3 linked regions of the Elephas maximus indicus genome follow. The main gene of each other region encodes a partner of the protein of the gene in region 2 in a complex. Links are inferred from orthologs where the notes say so. Each region holds a gene or a part of one and is shown on either strand. Other genes may lie near its edges.

The links. Proteins that work in one complex are often made in the same cells at the same time.
Region 1: RUVBL1 (region 2) and ANP32E share a complex: the UniProt entries of both Homo sapiens proteins name them as parts of the SWR1-like complex. The link is inferred for Elephas maximus indicus from reciprocal best matches to the Homo sapiens genes RUVBL1 and ANP32E.
Region 3: RUVBL1 (region 2) and ASDURF share a complex: the UniProt entries of both Homo sapiens proteins name them as parts of the PAQosome complex. The link is inferred for Elephas maximus indicus from reciprocal best matches to the Homo sapiens genes RUVBL1 and ASDURF.

What each region holds. Positions count from the first base shown.
Region 1 is NC_064821.1:184,387,902-184,395,031, forward strand, and holds the start of ANP32E (acidic leucine-rich nuclear phosphoprotein 32 family member E), read right to left. Parts: upstream 3,020-7,130; 5' UTR 2,696-3,019; coding exon 2,642-2,695; intron 2,493-2,641; exon of another isoform or gene 2,003-2,492; intron 1-2,002. UniProt on the Homo sapiens protein: Histone chaperone that specifically mediates the genome-wide removal of histone H2A.Z/H2AZ1 from the nucleosome: removes H2A.Z/H2AZ1 from its normal sites of deposition, especially from enhancer and insulator regions.
Region 2 is NC_064838.1:42,480,582-42,487,997, reverse strand, and holds the start of RUVBL1 (ruvB-like 1), read right to left. Parts: upstream 3,012-7,416; 5' UTR 2,910-3,011; coding exon 2,769-2,909; intron 1-2,768. UniProt on the Homo sapiens protein: Possesses single-stranded DNA-stimulated ATPase and ATP-dependent DNA helicase (3' to 5') activity; hexamerization is thought to be critical for ATP hydrolysis and adjacent subunits in the ring-like structure contribute to the ATPase activity.
Region 3 is NC_064824.1:87,826,477-87,834,185, reverse strand, and holds the start of ASDURF (ASNSD1 upstream open reading frame protein), read right to left. Parts: upstream 3,020-7,709; 5' UTR 2,950-3,019; coding exon 2,854-2,949; intron 1,012-2,853; coding exon 958-1,011; intron 1-957.

The DNA.
Region 1 (7,130 bases), on a different chromosome or scaffold from region 2:
TAAAAAATAAAACTTTGAAAAAGGACCCATGGTAAAAGCTGTTTTTGACCCTAATGGTGTTTGAGAATGATCCTCAACAGCAGGGCCCGTATTTATGCAGTGAAGGGACACCTGGGCTATTGGGAAAGGATTCCAGTAAGTTGTCCTAAAAGTTAGCAAGGAGAAGACAGGAAATAGTTTTATTCATTTTTTTCAGTTTTCAACTCCCTCATCTTTCATTGATAAATGCCATCAAACTCAAAAAAAAAAAAACAACCTTGTTACCTTTCTGGAACAGCCTAGCTTTTCGGTGTTATTTGTTCTAATAATGAGGCCAAACAGTATCACCCAGAATATTACATCCTTGACAAAATGTTATTTCTCCCTGCCATCCTGGTAGCATTTTTGTGGACTTTTCTCTATTCTTGGAGGGGAGAGGAGGGCTTGATCCCCCATTAGGTTACTGTTATAGCAACAAAACTTCCTGGTATGGGCCTAAAAGGACTGAATCTTAAGGAGGCAGGAGACCCTGCTCTATTTCCCAACAGCAAAAATATGTTTTAAGTATTTTGAGGGCTAAAAATTAGCAACACGGAATGCCACCTTCCCCATCTGAATATGACTTTGACGTAATTATTTCAGTGAGCAGAGAAAGCATCATCTCTCCCCTAGAGATGGAGAAACCAAGAGCCAGAGGCTATGGATGATTTGCCCAGGGTCACACAATTAGTATGTGGCAGAGCTGTGCCTCAACCCTAAGTCTTCTTACTCCCAGTCTAGCTGAGTGGTGGAAGGGTTGCTAGATTTGGTGTCAGAAACCAGTTCTACCACTTAAGTAAATCACTTCACTGCTCTAAGACTTTTTTTTTTTTTTTTGCTAATTTGGATTCTAGAACAATACAATCCACCTTACAAGTTTATCGGAAAGAGTGAAGTAAATAAAATGAAAAGTGCTTTGTAAACTGTAAAGAGCTTTACAAACGTAAGAGACTGTTATTATATCACGGCGGAGGAAGGAGAATTTGCAAAAAGGCACTCTCTCCTCCAAATCCCCAAAACGGGCAATGCTGCAAAGAAATTACTACGTAAAAAAATGGGAGGTGGGAGGCAAATCCATTTCTCCAACTCAAGACATAAAAAAGTATTCTAAATGTGTGCTTTTGAAAGACTGCATTCAAGTTTGATTTTGCTTTTCCCTGAAGCCCCTGAAGAGTAGATCCTAGAAAACTTCAAGTTTTCTCTGGGATGACCCTGATAGCAGCAACTATTTCCTCCTCCCCGCACCCTACCAATTTCAGGGAAAGAAAAAAAAAAGTACATAAATATCTTGTGTCCCACTCTGCACGCAGCAGCCCACCGGCCAGAATCCTACTCATCTTCTACGGTGCACAGGCACCACCTCACCCGTTAAAAATACATATCTCGCATATTCCAATTCTAGGGCTAACAGTATTTCAGGCGCTGCGCACCAGCAAGGCAATTAACACTTTCCCTTGAAACCTTAAGTCCGAGGCTCCTCGCGGGCCACAGTCCCCGCGCGCGCTCGGGCCGACTGGGAACCCTACATGGTGCGTGGACGCCCCAGGGAAAGGGGTGGTTTGCCGGGCCGCGTTCCCCTCGCGCCTCCGCCGGGGGCTGGGAGCGCTGGGTGAGGCCGAGGGGCGCCTTCGCAAAGGAGGCGGGAACACCTCCCGCCCGCCCCCCGATAGCTGACGACCCCGCCTCACGTGGCCCCTCCCAAGCCCGTCTCTTTAACTAAGGCGACAGTAACTAGAGCGCATCTCTGAGTTTCGTCGTGCCCATCTTTAAGGCACAAAACTACTACGACCCATTTGTTGAGTTTTGTGAACCCATCTCCGCGGATCAAATTCAGAGTTGCGGCCACTACGCCACTAGACACCGAATGTCGTTACATCGCGGTGTAAAAGCCGGGGGTGTCCTCCTCTCCTTTGGAGGGAAGAAGGGGATTCTTCCTCACGACCCCTCCCCACCTCCGGTCACTGCGACGAGTCCCCAAACTTACCCGCGGTCCGACTAGCCCGCGGCTGACCCAGATTCCTCCAGCCGGCGGCCGCCGCGCGCCCCATCCCGGGGGAATGGGCGCCGCCAGGAGCTGGCGGTCCGCGGACCCTGCGAGCGACCCCAGCCCTCGACCAGCGCGAAGTCAGGCGCCAACCGGCCTCGAGGTCGGGGCGAGGGTCTCTTGACCCCTCCGCCCTCGACCCCAAACGAGTTGGCAGCACTGCAGGAAAGTTGGACTAACTTCTCAGGCGGCGGCGCCTGCGGCAGGGGCGAGTGGACCGGGGGGTCGCGCCCACGCCGCCTGCCTCCAAGAAGAGGAAGGCGGGGAGCGACCGGGCAGAGGGGCCCCCACCACCTCGCTTCCCTGCCCCCACGAGGGCAGGAAGCCCAGCTCACCGAGAGTCGAAAGGGGCTAAGCCCCTACACACACACAAAAAGGCCCCTAGAAACTTAAACCCTTCGCCATTTTAAGAAAGAAGATTTTAATGATTTAAAACTTAAAATTAAACATTTCCTCCAGCCCTAACCCCAGATGGGGGTTAATTTCCTACCTCTCCCTACACACCCACTCGGACCCCTAGAAATTCGACCCTCCGAATATGGGGTTGGTGGGGAAGGGGAGGGGGCTGAGTCATCTCACCTCCTCCGGGGCTTTGTTCCTTAACTCCAGGTTAATCCTCTTCTTCATCTCCATGTCCTCCACCTCCTCTTCTGCCACTAGTCTCCTGCCTTCCCCTTTCCTGCCTTTCCCCACCACCCCCAACCCTAAAATTTAAAAAGGTTTGAAAATGAATGAAAAGAAACGCAAATATAACGCCCACCGCCACCAGATAGGTGTGGGGGGGGGGGAAGAGAATAGCAAATGGAGTCCAAGGAGTTGGGACTCTAACTCGGCTGCCCCCACCTCCTTGTCCACACACTCGCGCGCGCGCGCACACACACGCACACACACACTCACACACCCGCAGTTCCTTCCCCTTCAATGGCTGCTCGGAGACTGAGCCTCCATGACACGGCACCGCCAACCCCCTAGCCTACACTCCACCCACCTCCCGAACGTATTGGTTGCTTCTTCAGCATCACACTATTCCGTTGGGCTACGTAATTGTCTATCAGTCTTCAGGGCGGACCTGGACCAGAAACTCTGTGTCTATTGGATACGACCAAGCGCGCAGTTAACTCCGATAGGCCCAGGAGAGTGTCCATCCCAGAAAAATGGTTTTGAATCCCAATAGCCCCCCCCTTTTCTTTGTGTGGTTGGCGCGCTTTCCCCAGGCGCTGGGACGGTTTTGATGCCTGTTGGATTTGTTTTTTTGCTTTTCTGTTTTTAGTGTAAAAGGGAGGGAGAAAGCATCCTATCCCAAGCTACGACACCGATAATTCACCACACACGCACCGGCTCTTGGCCGTTTTAAAACACAGGCCCTGCTTTGCTGCCAAAGTGCACACACCAACGTGCACATCACATTAAAAGCATGCCTTCGTGGCACTGCCCTGCCGGGAACAGGCTTCCCACAGAGACTGATGTTCCGTGGTGCAGAACCAGGATATAGATGGTATTTTAAATTCCATCATGAGGGACTGTCTGATTTTGAAAGCAGTTGGGTGAATAAAACTACCTTGGAGAATTGTTACTGAGGTTAATTGTTGCTTTAATAAACACTGGGACCTTGGAAGTGAAAGAAAGCTGGCCTAATAAAAATCGAACATCGTTTCGCACAGAAATGGCTCTGCAATGCTTCTCCTAATTCCCTTTAGTTGGTTTCCACGGAAATCTGTAGGTAAAGTGTACTTTTAATGCGGAATATAAAAGAGTGGGATAACAATTGTTTTTTTCTTAAGGGTCTAATTTTTCTTAGTTCTTGCTTCAATTCTGTCCTTCTCATTCGCTTACACCCTTTTCAGGATAAACACCCAAAGAAGTTCCAGATGATTTGGGGAGGGAGGGCGGAAGTGATGAATTACCCCCAGGCCTCCCAGAGCTGGGTTTTTATTTGCAATTTTTCCAGTCTCTCAGGTTAGAGACCTTTGGCTTTCCATACACAGGTTCCTCACCACTCTACCACAGGCTGTCTTTCCCCACACAGAGACAGGCATTCCCTCAAATAGGTTTACATTTAAAATGTAAATATTTGGTATTTGGTGTGTTAAATACTTCAGGAGGAAAACAAAATGGTGGTTTTCTTTTTAATGACAAATGTTTCCTTTGAATTCCCTAAAAAGGAAATTTCGTGAAGGTGAAAACAGAGGCTCTTCTAAAGAAGTAGAGAAGGAGGGCTTTTTGGTATAAAATGACATCTCTGGAGGCCATTTGAAGAGTTAGTTAAGTTTTGTGTTTGTTTTAATGCAGGCGAAAAGAAGCCAAAATGATAGGAAAACTGAACCAAAATGAACTGCGGAACAGTTCAAGGAAGAGTTAAAAACCAAGGGAAGAAAAAAAGACCTAAAAGAAACCTGGAAGCAAATTTTAGTACCAGTCCTGAGTTCTGACCCGCCTGCCACTGCATTATCCTGTTTTCTGCAAATTATTTAGCTTCTCTGGTTCTGGAACAGAATCCAAAAGAGACTTCACGGAAGGAGATTGATATTTAGGAGCCATCCACATACAAATGATAGTTGAGACCATGAGAACAATTAAGATCTCCACAGAGAATGTATATAATAAAAAGACTATCAGGCCAAGGAGAGCAAAAACATGGTTGAGAAAAAAGAAGAAGAGGGGGGAGGTATTGTCTACCAAAGCAGACATTTATATTCAAAATGTAAACCAAAAAAACCCAAACTGGTTGCCATCAAGTCCATTCTGACTCATAGCAATCCTATAAGACAGAGTACAACCGCCCATAGGGTTTCCAAGGAGTGGAATTCCTGGTGGATCCAAACTGCCAACTTTTGTGTGTGTGTATGTGTGCTTTAAGTGAAAGTTTACAAGTCAGTCTCTCATACAAAAATTTATATACACCTGGCTATATACTCCTAGTTGCTCTCCCCCTAATGAGACAGCACACTCCTCTCCACCCTGTATTCCCTTGTCCATTCAGCCAGCTTCTGTCCCCCTCTGCCTTCTCATCTCCCTTCCAGACAGGAGCTGCCCACTTAGTCTTATGTGTCTACTGAGCCAAGAAGCTCACTTCTCACCAGTATCATTTTCTATCTTATAGTCCAGGCCAATCCTTGTATGAAGAGTTGGCTTTGGGAATGGTTCCAGTCTTGGGCTAATGGAAGGTCTGGGGACCATGACTTCCGGGGTCCTTCTAGTCTTAGACCATTCAGTCTGGTCTTTTTACGAGAATTTGAGATCTGCATCCCACTGCTCTCCTGCTCCCTCAGGGGTTCTCTGTTGTGTTCCCTGTCAGGGCAGTCATCTGTTGTAGCTGGGGACCATCTAGTTCTTCTGGTCTCAGGCTGATGTAGTCTCTGATTTTTGTGGCCCTTTCTGTCTCTTGGGCTAATAATTACCTTGTGTCTTTTGTGTTCTTCATTCTCCTTTGCTCCAGGTGGGTTAAGACCAATTGATGCATCTTAGAAGAACTGCCAACTTTTATTGAGAAAGAGGTGAATTAAAAAAAAAAGTTGTGGAAGCCAAGGAGTTTGAAGAAAGAGATGGTTATTGCAGTTAAATGGTAAGGCTTTTGTATTGGACCACATGGACAGAATGGGAAAGTATCCTGGAGATAATGTGGGAAAGGTTAAGTCTCTTTGTCCATTTGGATTTAGGTCTTCTTATTCATTTAAGGAGCCCTGGTGGTGTATTAGTTAAGAGCATGGCTGCTAACCAAAAGGCAGGCAGTTCAAATCCAACAGCCACTCCTTGGAAACCCTGTGGGACAGTTCTACTCTGTCCTGTAGGGTCACTAAGTGTAGGGATTGATTCAGTTTTTTTATTGTTTTGTTTATTCTTTTAAAGCTGTTTTAGTAACGTTTGTTGAAGAAATGGAGGTAAATATGTGTTTTAAATTCCCCATGTTTAATCGGAAGTTTCAAGGAATTTTTTAAATTTCTTTTGAGACAACTATTTATTATTCTATTTAACTTCAGCTCAATCTAGCCAATGACTTTGGCACAAAATGCCAAAAACAAAGTCTTAGTAATCAGAGTTGAATGTAATCCTACATTCAACTGTTGAAATATATTGAAGTTTGATAGAAGGTGTAAAATGGTCCATTTAATTAAGGTTTTCCCTGCGTAGTAATTTCAGCTATTTTGCCAAGCAGAAAGAGCAATTCAATACTTTATATTAGAATACATTATTTTAATATTATACTTTCTCATCAAATGATGAGTTTACTTTAAATTTTTTTATCGTGGTAAAAAATATGTAACAAAACAGTTGCCATTTCAACCATTTTTATGTGTACAATTCAGTGACATTAATTACATTCTCCATGTTGTGCAACCATCAGAGTTTACTTTTAATATGTCTTTAAAGAACTTGCTACAGTCACTAATGTAGACTTTACTCGCCTTTAAGCCAAATTTTCCCCCAAATGAACATATCTCTCACTTTAGACTGAGAGTCCATGAGAAGATGGGATTCATTGCACAGAAATTTAACCATGATACAAGTGAACTTTATTTCTGTGTGATGGCTAATAGGTCATGAGGGAGAGAAAAATACTGAATTTTTGCCTAGACTTGTGATGCCACTTGTAGGGTCCTTTGTTTATGTCTCAAAAGGAAGAAGAGTGACAACTCGTGAACATACCATTGGAGGAATGTAACCATTATGGAGGGTAAATACAGCATGAACCATAAAAAAGTACATACCCTAAATTAAAATCAAAATGAGATACCACTATGTATCTGTCAGAAAGGCTACTTTTTTTGTTGTTGTTTTTTTAACTAACAATACCGAATGCTGGCAAGAATGAGGGGCAACTGGAGCTCTCACACATTGCTCGTAGGAGTGAAGAACAGTACAACCACTATGGAAAATAGTTTGACAGTTTCATACAAAATTAAACATATACTAACATATGGCTTAGGAAGCCTGCTCTTAGGTATTTACTCAAAGACAATAAAAATGTATGTCCACTCAAAATAATTCTATTATGAAAACATTCTGCATCCCACTTTGAAATGTGGCGTCTGGGGTCTTAAAAGCTAACAAGCAGCCATCTAAGATGCAT
Region 2 (7,416 bases):
GTTAAGAATCAATGGCATACACTACTAGCTGGCCATCAGTAAACCATCCCAGAACACTGCACAGCAGATGGAAACGCTGCATATGAAGTTGAACCTATGACACAAGTTCCTTTCAAGTGCCTTTTGAATCTTGAAGAGTAAATTATTTTATCACTTAGTGTTAGTTCACTTTAAACATATTCTATAAATGGACTACCAATCATATATTTTACAATATTTGACTATAAAGGAGCAAAGGTAGGAAAGTCACATTCACAGGGTGGCTTCATGCTAAGGGGAAACCTGGTGGCATAATGGTTAAGAGTTACAGCTGTTAACCAAAAGGTCAGCAGTTTGAATCCACCAGGTGCTCCTTGGAATCTCTATGGGGCAGTTCTACTCTGCCCTGTAGGGTTGCTATAGGTCAGAATTGATTCGGCTCCAACAGGTTTGGTTTTTGGTTTTGTGCTAAGGACTACATGATACCAGGTTTCTCACACTGAATTCATAATATATGACTGGCTAGAAGGTTCATTTGCCTTGTCTGAGGGAAGGCCACAGTTCTCTCTGGGCAGTGACCACACATGTACTGTATTGACAGGGCCCAAGAACACATCCTTTCTTCTCTACCACTAGGTAGCTCCCTGGGATGGGGTCCACATCTTCTTGTCTCTTTCTTCCCTATGGCCTATGGAGAAGTACCTTGGTCCTCTCCAAAAATGTGTTCAAGGAATGTGTGTGGGTGTGCTATATTCCATTTCTGGCTCAGTTGGCAAGGCAGTGCCCTTAACAGAGCCTAGAAGCTCTTTTTCATATGCTGTATTTCTAAGACGATAAAAGAGCCACTATGGTCTGTTCACAGAATTCTGTGATATCATAATCCTCAGCATCAGAGCTCTTTGGGAAACTCAAAAAGACAGAAAAGGGAAAGACTTTCCAAATCCTGAGTATATACTACTCTTCTTTACAGACTAGATCCTCTTCCATTTAATCTTCCTTAGTTTAAGCTCCAGTTTCTCTCCAGTGAGACATGTTCAATGAACCTTAAAATTTAAAAAGAACTGGAAGAACCTCAAAATATCACCTGGTCTCATTTTTCAGATGTGGACATTGAGCACCAGGAAAGATGCTGATATGACCAGGTAGCTGAGAGAAGTCTTCAGATAACTACTAATTCAATAAATAAATACCGAGCCCCTATGAGCCAGGTTCTGGGTATGTAATAAATACTAGTCCTTACTGTCACAGTGGTATGATGCATCAGTGAAGAGCACGGATTCTGCAGTAAGGTAGACTTGTTTAAATCCTTGCTCTACCACTTACTAGTAGTGACCTCAGACAAGATAATTTACCTCTATGAACCACAATTTCCTTTTCTGAAAACGGAGTCCTTAATAGTTAATGGCATACAAGCTAAAAGATGTCCGCAACTTATTTGAAATACAAAGATGGATTGGTGGATGGACAGACGAACGGATGGGCAGATGTGTGAAAAAGCAATATAGTAAAATGCTAATTGTAAAATTCAGGCACATAGTATTCAATGTACAAATCGTCCAACTTTTTTGTCTGAAATTTTTCATAATAAAGTGGAGGGAAGGCAATTAATACTAGGTTTGAAGTGGTAAACAAGATAATGGAGATAAAACTGCTCAGCACAACGCCTGGCACATAGAAAGTACTCAACAAATGTTAGCTATTTGCAGTAGCAAGTCCTCAGTAAGCTGAAGCTGGATAAAGGCAAGTTTCAAAATCATCTTGACCGTGTCAGTGTTTGCTTTTTGGAAAGATGATGCTCAAAATGGAAACTAGAGGCTTTTCTTTGGCCCTTTTATAGCACAATCAGGCTGTGAAGCAAGCCTCTTAACCTCATATTTAAGTTCAGGTTCTTGTAGCTGCCAGGCCATGACAATGACCTTAGAGCAGGCAAGCTGAGACGAGGGCTGTGTGATCAGAGAGCACCGATTTGGGAGTCAGACATACATTCGGGTGCAATCTCAACTTTACCATTACTAAGCTGAGTGGCAAGTGGATAGGTGAAGTGACCTCTCCTGCCCTCAATTTTTCCATCTGCCAAAAAAGAAGAAAAAACAAAGGGCTCGAATAGTGTGTGATTACGAGCTAAGTGAAAGGTTTTGGCATCACAGCCACTTAATAAAAGTGGACTTAGTTATAATGGTCAAAGGAGATGCCTGGAGGGGCTTGCTTATAAACCAGATGGCTCCTCTCCATAACTTCCACTCCCTCCCTCAGCTCCCAGCCCTTAGGAACCTAAAGGGACTTTTTTAAGGAAAGTCACTTCCTCGCTTAAGAAAAATCCGTAGCCTCCAAGTGCATTCACAATAAAATCCAAATTCCTCACCATGGCCAACGAAGCTCTGAAGTAACTGACCTCTGCCTACCAAAATAATTTTTGCTTACTGGTTTATACGTTTATCGTCTTGTAAGCTCCACGGGAGCAGGAACGTTATCTATCTTGTTTCCAGGTGTATCCCAGGGTCACGAATGGAACCTGGCACGTATTAGGTGGCTCAATCAAATACGTGCTGCTTCAAAGGGTCGAATCTAACACTCAACAGTCCCCCTGTAGAGTTGTTACCGGTTCTACTGGGACCGTCCCTCTCCCAGCCCAGTGTCGTGCCCCTCTTGATTCGCGTAGCCTATACCCACAGCCCTTAACGCAAATATCGGGCGAGACCCTCAGCGCGCAGCCCAGCCCCTTAGGCGCCCCCCAAACCCTTGAGCTCCCCCAGCTCAACACCGTCTACTCCCCGGCTCGCGGACCACACCTCTCGCGCGTTTTCCTGGCCCACCAGTCCCGAGGCCGCCTGCTTGGCCAAGCCACTCTCGTCCAACCCCAGCCCCTTCACGTGGCTGTGGGAGGCGATGCGCTGCGTCTTCGTGGTACTTTTCACCTCCTCAATCTTCATCTTGCAGACTCGGGGAGTCGAAAAACAGCAGCGAGTACCACGCGCCAGGCGCTCGGGTTACCATGCGGCCGTTACTAGGGCGGTTCGCAAGCGCCCGCCTTGGTCGGCGCTCTACTGGAGGAGGTGGGATACACCTCTACTTCCCATTGGCTCATCAGGGCTGCCCGTGGGGCTCCGCCCATCCACTTCCGGCTGTGTCGCTGGATGCGTTCCCCGGCAGTCGGCGCTTCCTGCCCAGGCCAGGGGCGGGAGGTGCAAAGAACCCGGAGTTGGGTCCCGGATGCCAGTTCTAATCGTGTAACCCTATCACGGCGTACGGTAGTCGCTGGCGGTTTTCGGCTCCCGGCGTCGCAATTAAACGTCATACCTTTATGCGAGGCTCGTACCCGTTTTGGAGATAGAGAAATTGAGGCTCAGATTTTAAGCTTTAGTTTTTGGTTACTATCCAGTTTTCTGACACCTAATCCATGCTTGGAACCCCTGAGATGCACAAATGGTTAAGCGCTGGGCTTCTAACCAAAAGAGTAGCAATTGAGTCCACCCAGAGGCTCCTGGGAAGAAAGGCCTGGTTATCTGCTTCCTAAATATCCCACCAAAAAACAAACCCATTGCAGTTGAGTTATCACGACTCACAGCGACCCTATATTGAAAATCTAATGGGGCACAGTTCTACTCTGACATACTTGGGGTTACCATGAGTCAGAGTCTACTCAATGGCAACTGGTGTAATGCATACTTTACTTTGCATCTCTGTTCAGGATCATCTCCGTGAAATTGTCTCCCTCTGCTTCTGCTCACCTCCACCTCCCCCTTTATTCAAATTAAGTTGATGGTGAGTAACATTTTGCAGTTTGCAAAACTCTGCAGCCCTGCGATGTATCACCCCTAATACAGAAAAAGATTCAGGCTAAAAGAGCCCCAATAACTTGCCCGAGAACACAGCAAATAATTGGCAGAACTGGAACTCCAGCTGAGGATTTCAGAATTTCAACCTGTGCAATCCTCTTCCCACCCCGCTACTTCAGCCAGGACAATTGGTCAGGGAGAATGTCCTGTCAAATTCCGTAATGATATTAACACTACCTGCACCAGACATTCAACACCTTCAGTGAGCCAGACACTACAACGCACTGGGGATATAAAGACAAAATACAAGATCACACCCAAGGACTTTACTCCCTGCTTGGGAAGTGAGATGTGCTGGGACAGGTACAACTCAGGTGGTATGCAAACCCAGAGCAGGGGCTCCTGAACAGCCTGGAGACCCAGGGAAGTGCTGAATCCTGTAGAATGGGTAAGACTTCCTCAGAAGCAGATGGTATGCCATCATTTTACAGATGAGGAAACTGAGGTCCAGGAAAAGGGCAGCACTTCCCTGAGTTTAAGAGAGCTGTAGTCAAATTCAGCTGTAGCAGTCCCCAAATCTCACACCTCTTTGTACTTCTCCTTCATAATTTTCAAATCTAAGTTTGTAATTATTTGCATAATTATTGGGTCAATATTTGTCACTGCCACCAAACCTTAAGCATTATGAGAGTATAAACCACATTTGTGTGCCCATCATTTTACCCCAGTGCCTGGCATACAACCTGGCTTACAATCAAGGCTTTGAATGAATTCAAATAAAGTTCTAGCCTCCCTCTCCCCCTCCTATACACACACACACACACACACACACACACACACTTGAATTCATGCAATTTTGATGGATGTATTTTACAAACTTGGTTTTATGGCCCTTGGTAATGGTTTCTGCCAGCAAATGGGGTCTTCTGGCACTTTCAGAGCCTGAAACTGCAAAGGTGAGGCCTTGGAAGGCTGAGCTTGTCACTGTTGGCCTGTGATTCAGCAACCCTAAGGATATCACCCCAGAAAGCCCACAAAGATGCTTAGTGTCTAATTGCTGTACTCCTAGTCATTACCCTTAAGTGAGGACCAGTTCCTTTGGAGAAGGAAGTTTTCCCCTAAGCAGTAGTCAGAGTGAGGTACTCTGTGAGACTACTTCTTTGCATATTGTCCAGTTGGGGGAGAAGATCTTTTTACATTTATCCTTTTAAGCGCCAATTTTGTCTCTGCGTCAATAAGCAAAATGAAGGATTGTCTTTCAGTCAAATATTGGTGGAACTAAGGCTCAATTTTAGAGCTCAAAGGAATCCCTTGGACCACTGGTCCAGTGGGACCCCAGAGTTATAGAGTTCTTTCTCGGCTAGTACGGGAGGGGAAGGGGAAGACCGATAGTGCAGATAGCTCCATGCCCTCCTCCCCCTTCCACCAGAGCTTTTCCATCTATTTACTCCTAGACAACAAATTGAAAACCACTGATCTGGACTAGCATTCTCATTTTTGGACCCAAGAGAGGCCTGGGTTTGCCCCAAATCACAAGGCCTAGAACCCATATCTCTGCCTCCCAGTGTGAAAAGATCTAGACCTGGTTTCAGAGTTAGACCATTTATTTTCATTTCAACAGACGACCATGTGGCAGACCGGAGCCTAAGATACACAAGGTAAATGAATATGAAGAGCAGGTGAAGCCCACAGTAGTGGATACAGGTTACTTCTGCCTACCCAGCATCCATTACCTTGTGTTCTGGTCTCTGTACCCTAATTTTCTTTAGGAACCCCCCTCCCCAACTTTTTGTCCAAGGAGTTTGGGTAGGCTGATCCCAACCTGCCCCAGCTTCAGATGGGATACTATCAGAGTATCCCATCTCCCTGGCCCTATTCAGGAATGTGAGCTAGTGGTTCAATGACACTAAATCCCAGCACTCTTACTGGAAATATAAAAACATGTTCTCTTCTACACGGGTTTTCAGGCTAGTAGCTGTCTTTGCCAATTCACGGAGACACCCAACTTGAAAATGAAGACAAGAGAGAGGAAAGCAAAGCTGAGAGAAAGGGATTCCGGACAAAATCCTTTGCATCCCTGGATCCAGCCTTGCCTTACTTGCAGTGTAACACGGTACTTACTTTGGGGCCTAAGGTTGTTTGAGTTAGATTTCTGTCCAGTGCCACTGAAAATCCGGATGAGTGCAATGACACATATACAAGCAAGTGTGTGGACTATTACGTTCCAGAAATTGTGCCATGTGATAACCAATCCTGCCAGCTCTTTCATTCCCTTACTCCCATGACCCTTGCTCTTTGACTTCCAGTCCCTCAACCTCTATTTTCTCCAGTCCAAACTCCATCATTTCAATCCACTTCCCAACCCTTCTGCTCCCTCCTTGCCTTGACTTCTGCCACACCTGCCCTTTGAACTGTCAAGCATATGTCAAGTCTACCTCTGTCTTCTCCCTTCCTTGAGGGGGTTGCTGGGAATGGCTGGAGGAAATCACCCAGTGGCCCCCTGAAGTCATTACACAGTCATGGCTTCCGGCCTCAGCTGAGCCCTCAGAGCTGCCCAGGGTTGCGTTATTCAGGATATGAGTTCTGTTGCACTAACAGATCCAAAACAATAGCAGCTTAAACATAAACGTAAGGTTCAGGAAGGCCTTCCAGTTGATGTGCTGGCTCCACAATCATGAAGGACCTATACTCATTCTATCTTGTTGCTGCACCACTCCACACATGCCTTCCATCTCGTGATCCAAGATGGTTGTTCCAGCTTCCCCCAAAAGGCTGTATTTGGGCCAGAAAGAATGAGGAATGGGGGAAATGGAGGACTTGTTCCTTCCGTTTACCCTTGACCTTGAAGTTGCACCATCATATCTACTCATAGTCCATTGGCAGAACTTGATCAAATGGCTACAGCTAGATGCAAGGGAGGCTAGAAAATGCAGTCTTTATTTCAACTTGAGCCCAGCTAAAAATTCTAGTCCTATGTAAAAGGGGAAAAAGTAGATTGGGAGACAATTTCTAGTCTCCACCCTAAGCTGCTTCTAAGTGCCAGGCACTGCTGAACTTTCCTTGTATCCTGTCTCAAAGGCAGGTATGACCTTCCTCCTGGCCAAAGTAACCCTACTAACTGGGTTCCAGACGACAACCTGGAACTTCCTCCACCTCTCAGAGGCCTACCTCCACCTATTACCTTCTTTTTCCTGTATTTTCATACATTTTCCCTGATCATTCCCCGTAGGATATAACTTGTTCAATATTTCCTTTTTACCTCCCTACCCCCTCTCAGGACTGTTTTATCATTTAGCTTCCCTTCACAGGAAAGTTCTCCACTTATTGACTTCCCTCCTCTTCCTCCCAGTCACTCTTTAGCCCGATGAAACACGGCTGTCACCCCTGCTGCTCTCTCGAATCTGCTATCTTGAAAGTCAAGGGTGACTTTACAAGAGCCAAATTCACCAGACATTTTCCAAGCTTACAGGCCCTCTGTGCAACGTCTGACACTACTGACCACTCACCATATCTAGAAACTCTCAATTCATTTACCGGTATCAGTTAGGAATGCGTTTGTCTTCAAGCAACAGAAAATCAGACTCACAGTGGCTTAAGCAAATAAGGGGGCTGTTTCCATGCAACATGAAATACAAAACATACATGCAGGGACCACTTCTTT
Region 3 (7,709 bases), on a different chromosome or scaffold from region 2:
TATAATTTGCTTTTATCAGTAAATACTACATTGTGAACACCTTTTCTTATGTTAATAAGTATTCTTTTACAGTATTACTGTATGGATATAAAATACTAGTTTTATTTGCTCAGTTCCCAAATCTTAAGACATTTGTGATGTTACCAACTTTTCACTATTATAAAATCAATGTTGTGATGAAATATCCTTGTAACTAAATCTTTGTGCACACCCGTGATTCTTTTCTAAGCATCAATTCCTAGAAATGATACTACTGGGTCAAGCTGTTACAGTTTTAAGACTTTGATATGCTCTGCCAATCTGTCATCTAGAAAGTTCGTTTCAATTGCGCCTTAACTTCTAATATTCCACAAAAGGCAATATTAGAAATGTCTAACCTGTTATAAAATAATATTTTAAATCCTTTAAGGAGCTAAAATAATTTCCTCCTGAATTTTAAAATGTAATTTTTGGTAACTTTGGCAGCTTGCTCATGAATACATTTAAAAATCGTGTTAAGCACTTCAAAGATTGAGGTTATTATTATTGTTTTTTGGGGGGTGGCAATTTTATCATTTTTTTTTGTTGTTCAACAATTATCCATATTCATTTATAGAAAGTTTCCTCTCTTTTCCATATATTTAAAGTTAATTTATTACAAAAGAAAATATCAAATTCAAGTATAAAATAAATACTATTACTGATTACAGCAGTAAACTACAGTACCCTTAGTATCATTTGGTCCAAAAGTAATGTGGATAGCACCCACCCAACCCACTGCCGTCAAGTTGATTCCGACCCTACCACATGATGGGGGAAAACCATTTTCAACATTACACACACGTTAAAAAAAACTTTTTCACTTTTGCAATTTGTTAACTAAAAAGATGTTGAAATCCTAAACATTTTAACGTTAGATTTATATAAACCATATATGTAATTTTTAATAAAATATAACCAATTACTCTAATAACTCACCCTGTTTTTCTTCAGGTTAGAAAGTTCATCTACAACAATTTTTTGTTCTTTAATCTATAGAAATAAAGGAAAAAAAAATCCTTAAATCAGGAGTTCTCAAGGTATGTTCAAAGATGGTCCTTTAATTGTTTCAGAATCAGAAATGGAATATGGGACTATTATGTAGTGATTTTCAAAATGGGCAGTCTGTGAATATACAGATTCTTTTCGCAAAGTCTGTGTGGGATGGAGGTGGGGGAAAGTTGAAGGGGGAAGCAGTGATTAGACTGGCCAAGGGTTGCTGGTAGCCAGAATACACACCAAGTGGTACGGTAACCAAACAAGGTTTATATCTTCTATTAAAAGCATATGGTATGCACCAAAAGTATTAACAGTTTTTCAATTAATTCTCACAAGCTGTGTTATATTTTTTATTTAATTCTGAATGGGATAAGGGGTGGGCTACTTTTTTCAATTATTAGTGGTTTTTATGATTTATGAACTAAATGGTGTAGCTAGACATCTGAAACAAGCAAGTAATGCTAAATGCCCTACTTGTGGCAGTAAGACCTATCACTTCCCATTGTTGCTTTATTCATTTCTGTATTTCAAAGACTAGCACAGTCCTGGCACTACTGAAAGAGGCTTTGCTTTATACTAGCATGGGAGCATTCAGCTAAGTGAAAACTAAGCAAATAACTAGTTATTTTGACAACCTGACAGTTTCGCTACCCAAACGCTAGTGGCTCTAAAATTATTGTTCACGGTCTTTTTTTCTACCTCACACACCTGGAGAATATCATATATTAATTTAAGGGACTTGCTATGGTAGTAACAGGAACATGCTGTGTAGTTTAAAAAACTACCCCCGATGTGTGTGCACCTTTGTGTCTCCCTAGCTGATAATCAAGGTTCTAGTAATTGACTCGATCAGGTTGAATACCAAGGTTGAATTCATATGACCTCCCTGGGATGAAAGTAGTAATAACAATAGGTTATGTCTGAACAGTACTTTTCCTATTCATTTTAGGAAAGCAGGTATAAATTTCACTTACATACTTCAAACAAGGAAAATATGATGGAGAGAGATTAAAGAGACCTGCCCAAGATGTCACTGTTAGTTTGGGACAGAAGCAAAGGATACCTAATATCTGAAAAGCTGTAACTGCTCTCTCCCCATATTTTTAAAGCTTTTGTCTATTGCACGAAATTTTTATATTGCCTCCCCTCCCCCCCTTTTTTAAAAATAGAGTGACAATCAGATACATGTTTTAGGATTATTACTCTGGCTGCTAAATGGTGAATAGATTAGAAAAAAGTAATGGTGGATGGGGAAACACCAGTTGGGAAGGATTTGAGAGAGTCCCAATGAGAGACGATAGTGGCTGGTCTGGGTTGATAGCAGGGTAGACGGTGGTTAAGAGTCCAGGGGCTTCGGAGGTAGAAGTGACAGGACGTTGTGATGGAAGTCAAGGATGGCTCGCCTGTTACTTGCATAGCCAACTGGACGGACGGTGGTGGCGTTTTCTGAGATGGAGAATACGGGCAATAGAACATCTAGGAGAGGAGGGCGGTCTTTCTAAAAGTTTTAAAAGGTAAAGTGAAAAATTTTAAAAACCTCCGTCCCACTGCTACCTAAGTCTAACCTTGGAGCAACTTTCAGTGTCTCCCTTACTACAACTGTTTAAAAGAAGGCAGCTGCAAAGTGTATAGAGCTGCACATAGTGCCATGAGTAAAAAGTGCACACCAGCTGGGCAAAGCCGAGGCCCGACGAGTCACGCACTGACACTGACCCACCGGGTACCAGGGACCGAGGATGGCCAAGCACGCGGGGAGCGAAGGAGCCGCGGCGGACCATCTTTGGGGCCAGTGGCGCCCCATCCGGGGCCCGTGAGCCTTCCCGCGTCCACACTTGCCTTGCTGTTAAGTTCCTCTTTGTGCGGGGTCGAGTTGTCGGAAGGGACCAGCTCAGCGCTGTCCTCCGGATGCGCCCGGGAGCTGGGCATCTCCATGGAACGCACGAGGCGAGGAGCACAGAACACCTCAGGCGCCCCAGCTGGAGGCAGCCGCCGACCTCTGCGCGTGCGCGCCCTCAGCGGCTCCACCCCCTCCCTTTCCGCTTCCCGTGAGTCCTGCTGACAGCGTCTGCGCACTAACCCGAACGCCTGCGCAGTCTGGGTCTGGCCTGGGCGTAGTTCGGCGGTTTCGCTGAACCTTTTCCGGCGCGCGCCAACAGAGCCTGGTTGTGAAATCTGAGAGCTTCTTCAAGTCTACCTTGGGGGATGGGTTGTAGAAGCGGCTTTTGAGGACTCTTCACTCTTTCTCCCCTAGTAGACTGCGGCGTTTCTCCCCTGTCGTGGAGAGTCGCTATGAGTTGGAATTGACTCCATACCAGTGGGTTTACTGCGGGTTGTAAGCGTCACCCAGTGGTAAATATAAAGAATAGGAATACCGCTAAATTTTTATTATCTACGGGGGGTAGCACGTGAGGCACAGATGTAAGAGCTGTAAGGTTGACAGCGGAACTGTACAAACTCGGTAAAATTTTTGTTAACTCGTTAGCAGGGTTACAAGGTAAAATACAGGAAAAAAAAAAGAGGCACAGTTAAATTTGACTTTCAGATAAAACAGTAATTTTTATTATATATATATGTCCCATGCAATATTTCTAATATTTCACTCCTGTGAGAAAAATTATCAAAAATTTGGAAATAGGCAAAAGAGATTACTGAGTGTTCTTTCAGTGCTGTTTTGTCCTTTTTATTGACCGTATTATTGTACAATTCTGTAGGGGCAGACTTTAACTTGTGGAGTTTTGTCAGGTATCTGTTGGACCAGGTTACTCCAGAGGTTATGATTTATTGTTCAGTTAGACATTAATCGGTTTTGTATCTAATTCTATGATCGTATTCTAACATAATTTTAGTAATACATCCCCAGCATCCCAAATGCTCTTTGAATTGGTTTTAATGTCTTCCCAATTCTCTATATAATTAATGAATTGAATAAAACTTTGACATGTGTTCATTTTATATTTTCATGAGGGTCATGGTGTTATACTTTTGAAAATTACACTTTACCATTGGAAACTTGAGATTCCATGGAGATACCCAAGTGGGACCACCTGTGGAGCCAAATAAATTGTATCACTGAAGAAGTGCACCTCATGGGTTAAGCCCAGTCATGTCTTTATTAGCTTTTAAAGTAAATCCCAATTGGTTATAGACCTAACTTTACTCTCTAATTTTTTTTTTCCCACTCTTCCTATTTAAACTTGTGTGTGTGTTTCTTACTTGTGCCTGGCTGATAAGTCATTTAACACTAGTAGCGGTAATGTTTTGGGAGTTTGGTTTTATGATTTCACCATTTAGTGATACGTCAGGTGATGGGAGGTATATTTTCTATTGGAAGAGACATTACAGGTTATTTTGTTGTTGTCTTCTTGTGAGCTCAAATTAACAGTTTTGTGTTCAGTGGGAAGGAGAACAGCTGTGGTGGTTGATTAGCTTTTGTGTTTCTGTGTTTATTTTCCACTGGGGATTGAGGATACACAACTGAAGCTGTAAGCTCTTCATGTGTCTGTGGGTCTATAGTTTAAAAAAGCCTTTATATCTCATTGTGTAAATGTAAAATGTTTTCCTACTTCTGGAGGATGTTAATACTTATAATGGCTTTTAAAGGAGTCAGTTCTGACTGGTTTGTAGTGATACATAAATTTATAATCCCAAAATTCACAAAAAATAAATAATAAAAAGACACTGAATTTCTAATACTTTGTGCTAGACTTTTAAAAAACATGTCCTTGATATAAAAGCTGCTAGGTCGGAAACTTTTTAAGAATCCAAGTTCACATAATTAAGGTGAGTTTTTGGACAAATTAGACTGGTTTACTAATTTTTGTTTAAGAAAGGACTGGTCTGTACATTTATTATGCCTGATCGGTCAACATCTGCCCATCTGTAGCCCATCACACAACTAGGTAGGCTGTTCTTTTTTCATGCATCTTTCACTTAAGACCATTGCTGTCATGTATCGTTCTTAATAGGATAATTTCATGGTTTTTTTAATGATACTTGTACTGCTCCCCTGATGCTATGTTCTCAATATATTTTAACTGATTCGTATTAGCCTGGCTTCCAAGTTTCTGAATTAATAGTCTCCCCCGCCCCCCATTCTTCCTTGCTTTCTCATTGTACTCCAACACAGAGATTCCTTTCTAGCCACATAAGTCGTTGTCTTGTCTCTTCTAAATGACATGTGGTATAGTCCTGTGGTTCTCAAATACTAGTCAGTAGGTGGGTGCAGTGACATCACTAAGGAGGTGGGGCGGGGTGTGGTCTGTACCAGAAGACACTGTCAGAGGGAGTGACACCAAAATAACCATCTCTAAAATTTTTGTGCAGTGTTTCACTAGAAATTTATTTTTTTATAAAAATATTCCTGTAGTTATAACAACAAAACTTTTTTTCTTAGACTCAGCTTCATGTATCAGTATATCTACAAGACTAATATTCTATGCTAATTTACTTTTTGAATCTTCTAATGTGCTCCAGTTAGAACTGTCATTATTACCTAATTATAATGATGCTTCGAATCACATGGTTTCATCATGTGCTACAATATTGCGGTAATTAGTATGGAGGGTGACACCAACCCTAGTGATGCTACTGGGTGGATGCCTTTCTCACTATATGAAATAACTTGAAAGTTTTGTTCAAATACATACAAATTTCACTGTGTTTTTCCCAGATTTGTAGACTCAGATCTTTGGGGATGGGATCTGGATGTCTGCTGCATAGAGCAGTCCTTACCATATACCTCACACGCAAAATGCCTGCATTTCAATCTTAGCTTCTGCATGTAATCTGTAGAATGGGGGCCTACCTCATAGGGTTGCTATGAGAATTAAATGAGCTAATATTTGTAGTGTGTTTATAATAATTTAAGAGTAAGCACTATATAATTGTGTGTTAAATAAGTAAATCAGAAGTTTCCCCAGATGATTTTGACAGAAGGTTTATGAACCAACGGGATGGAAAGAGCAAGACTCTGAGATAGTTGGCCCATTTCTTGTTGAAGGTACGTCCTCTCTTTTCCCTCTGTGATTCTCAACTGGAGAAGTGCTGTCCCCAGCTGATGCTTTGGAAAAAACATGGAAGTGCTTTTGGTTGTTACAATGATTGGATGGTTCTGTTAACTCTGATGGGGTAGGACTAACTGGGAACTATTTGAAGGGGAACAGACCGAGCCACAGGCTCTTAAGAAACCTAGACTAACAGGCCAAAGGGCAGCCTCAGCAAGCGGACAGCACTGGGAACTGTGTGGGGTGGGCCCTCGGACCAAATAATGAGATGAATCAAGGGTGATGTTGCAATCTAAGTAGGTGATTTCTCTCAGGAATTGTGTCAGAAGATAACAGGGCCTGAGATACTGGAGTGGTGTTTACCATCAGGGCTCTAGTACTGTGAGTAGGACTAGCCCTTTGCCATCGAGTCAGTTCTGTCTCATAACGACCCTATAGGACCGAGTAGAACTGTTCCATAGGGTTTCCAAGTAGTGGCTGGTGGATTCAAACTGCTGATCTTTTGGTTAGCAGCACACACAACCACGGCTTCTAGCGACCCTATTGAACAGAGTACAACTGCCCCATACAGTTACCAAGGCTGTAAATCTTTAGAGAGGCACACTGCTACGTCTTTCTCCTGCAGAGTGGCTGGGAGTTTGAACCACCAATCTTTTGGTTAATAGCCAAGCACTTAACCACTGTAATACCACAACTCTGGAGGAGGACTGCTGGGTATTATCACACAGACTTTGGGGAGAGGAGGCAGGATTTTAGCGATAGTAATAGAGCAGATTAAGCTGGTCTGCTTCTCAAGAGGAATTGCTGAGTCTTCGGGTACTGGGCTAGAGATGAGCAAATCCTTTCTACCGGAGGTAACCCAAACAAACCCAGTAAACTACCGGAGGTAAGAATGTGGAAATCACGCACCCCTGGCCTCTGCAGCAAACACCACGTGTGCAGGGCAAGGACTAGCATCCTGAAAGTTGCATGTTTCGTTAAATTTTGCACCCTAGGTGCTTCACACACCACACCTTAGTCTGGGATCTGCTCTCGTGCCAGCTGAATTTGAAGAGTTTATTATTGGTGGTTTTACCTTACAGTTTACTGGTCACTGTGGCTTGTGAATGACACCAATGAAAGATGCTTTATATGTTGTCAACGTCTGGTGTATCCTCACATGTCTTACAGCTATAAAGATGTTTGAACAAAATTACCTAGCTTCTTCTAGGACTTCTTCCATATGATTACCACAGTCCACCTACCTTCCCAAAGACTAAAGACATGTTCGAAAATTATGGTCTATGTAATTGAAGAAACAGAATTAAACGCAATCACCTCTGTGAGTTAGCATCACAGTGCATAACTGAGTCAGTTAAATAAAATAGTTATGAAATGTTTAATATCAGAAAAGTTACAAATAGTGATTAAATGTTTACTAATACCGAATTTGCAGTAAGATGCTTTAAAAACACGAAAATATATTCACCTGAGTAAACGGAAAATGATATGTAAATGATATATCAGTAATAATTATTTACATATTCAGATAATGTTTTTCTTTATAGAATGCCCTCATAATTCAGAACTCTTCATAGCTGGGGTATTTATGTCAGTTTATATTGTTAGCAATGCTAAAGTTTTACAAAACTGTTAATCAAAATCTGTTTATGACTACCTTGGGGTTGTAAAAACTTTTTTTTTTGGCTT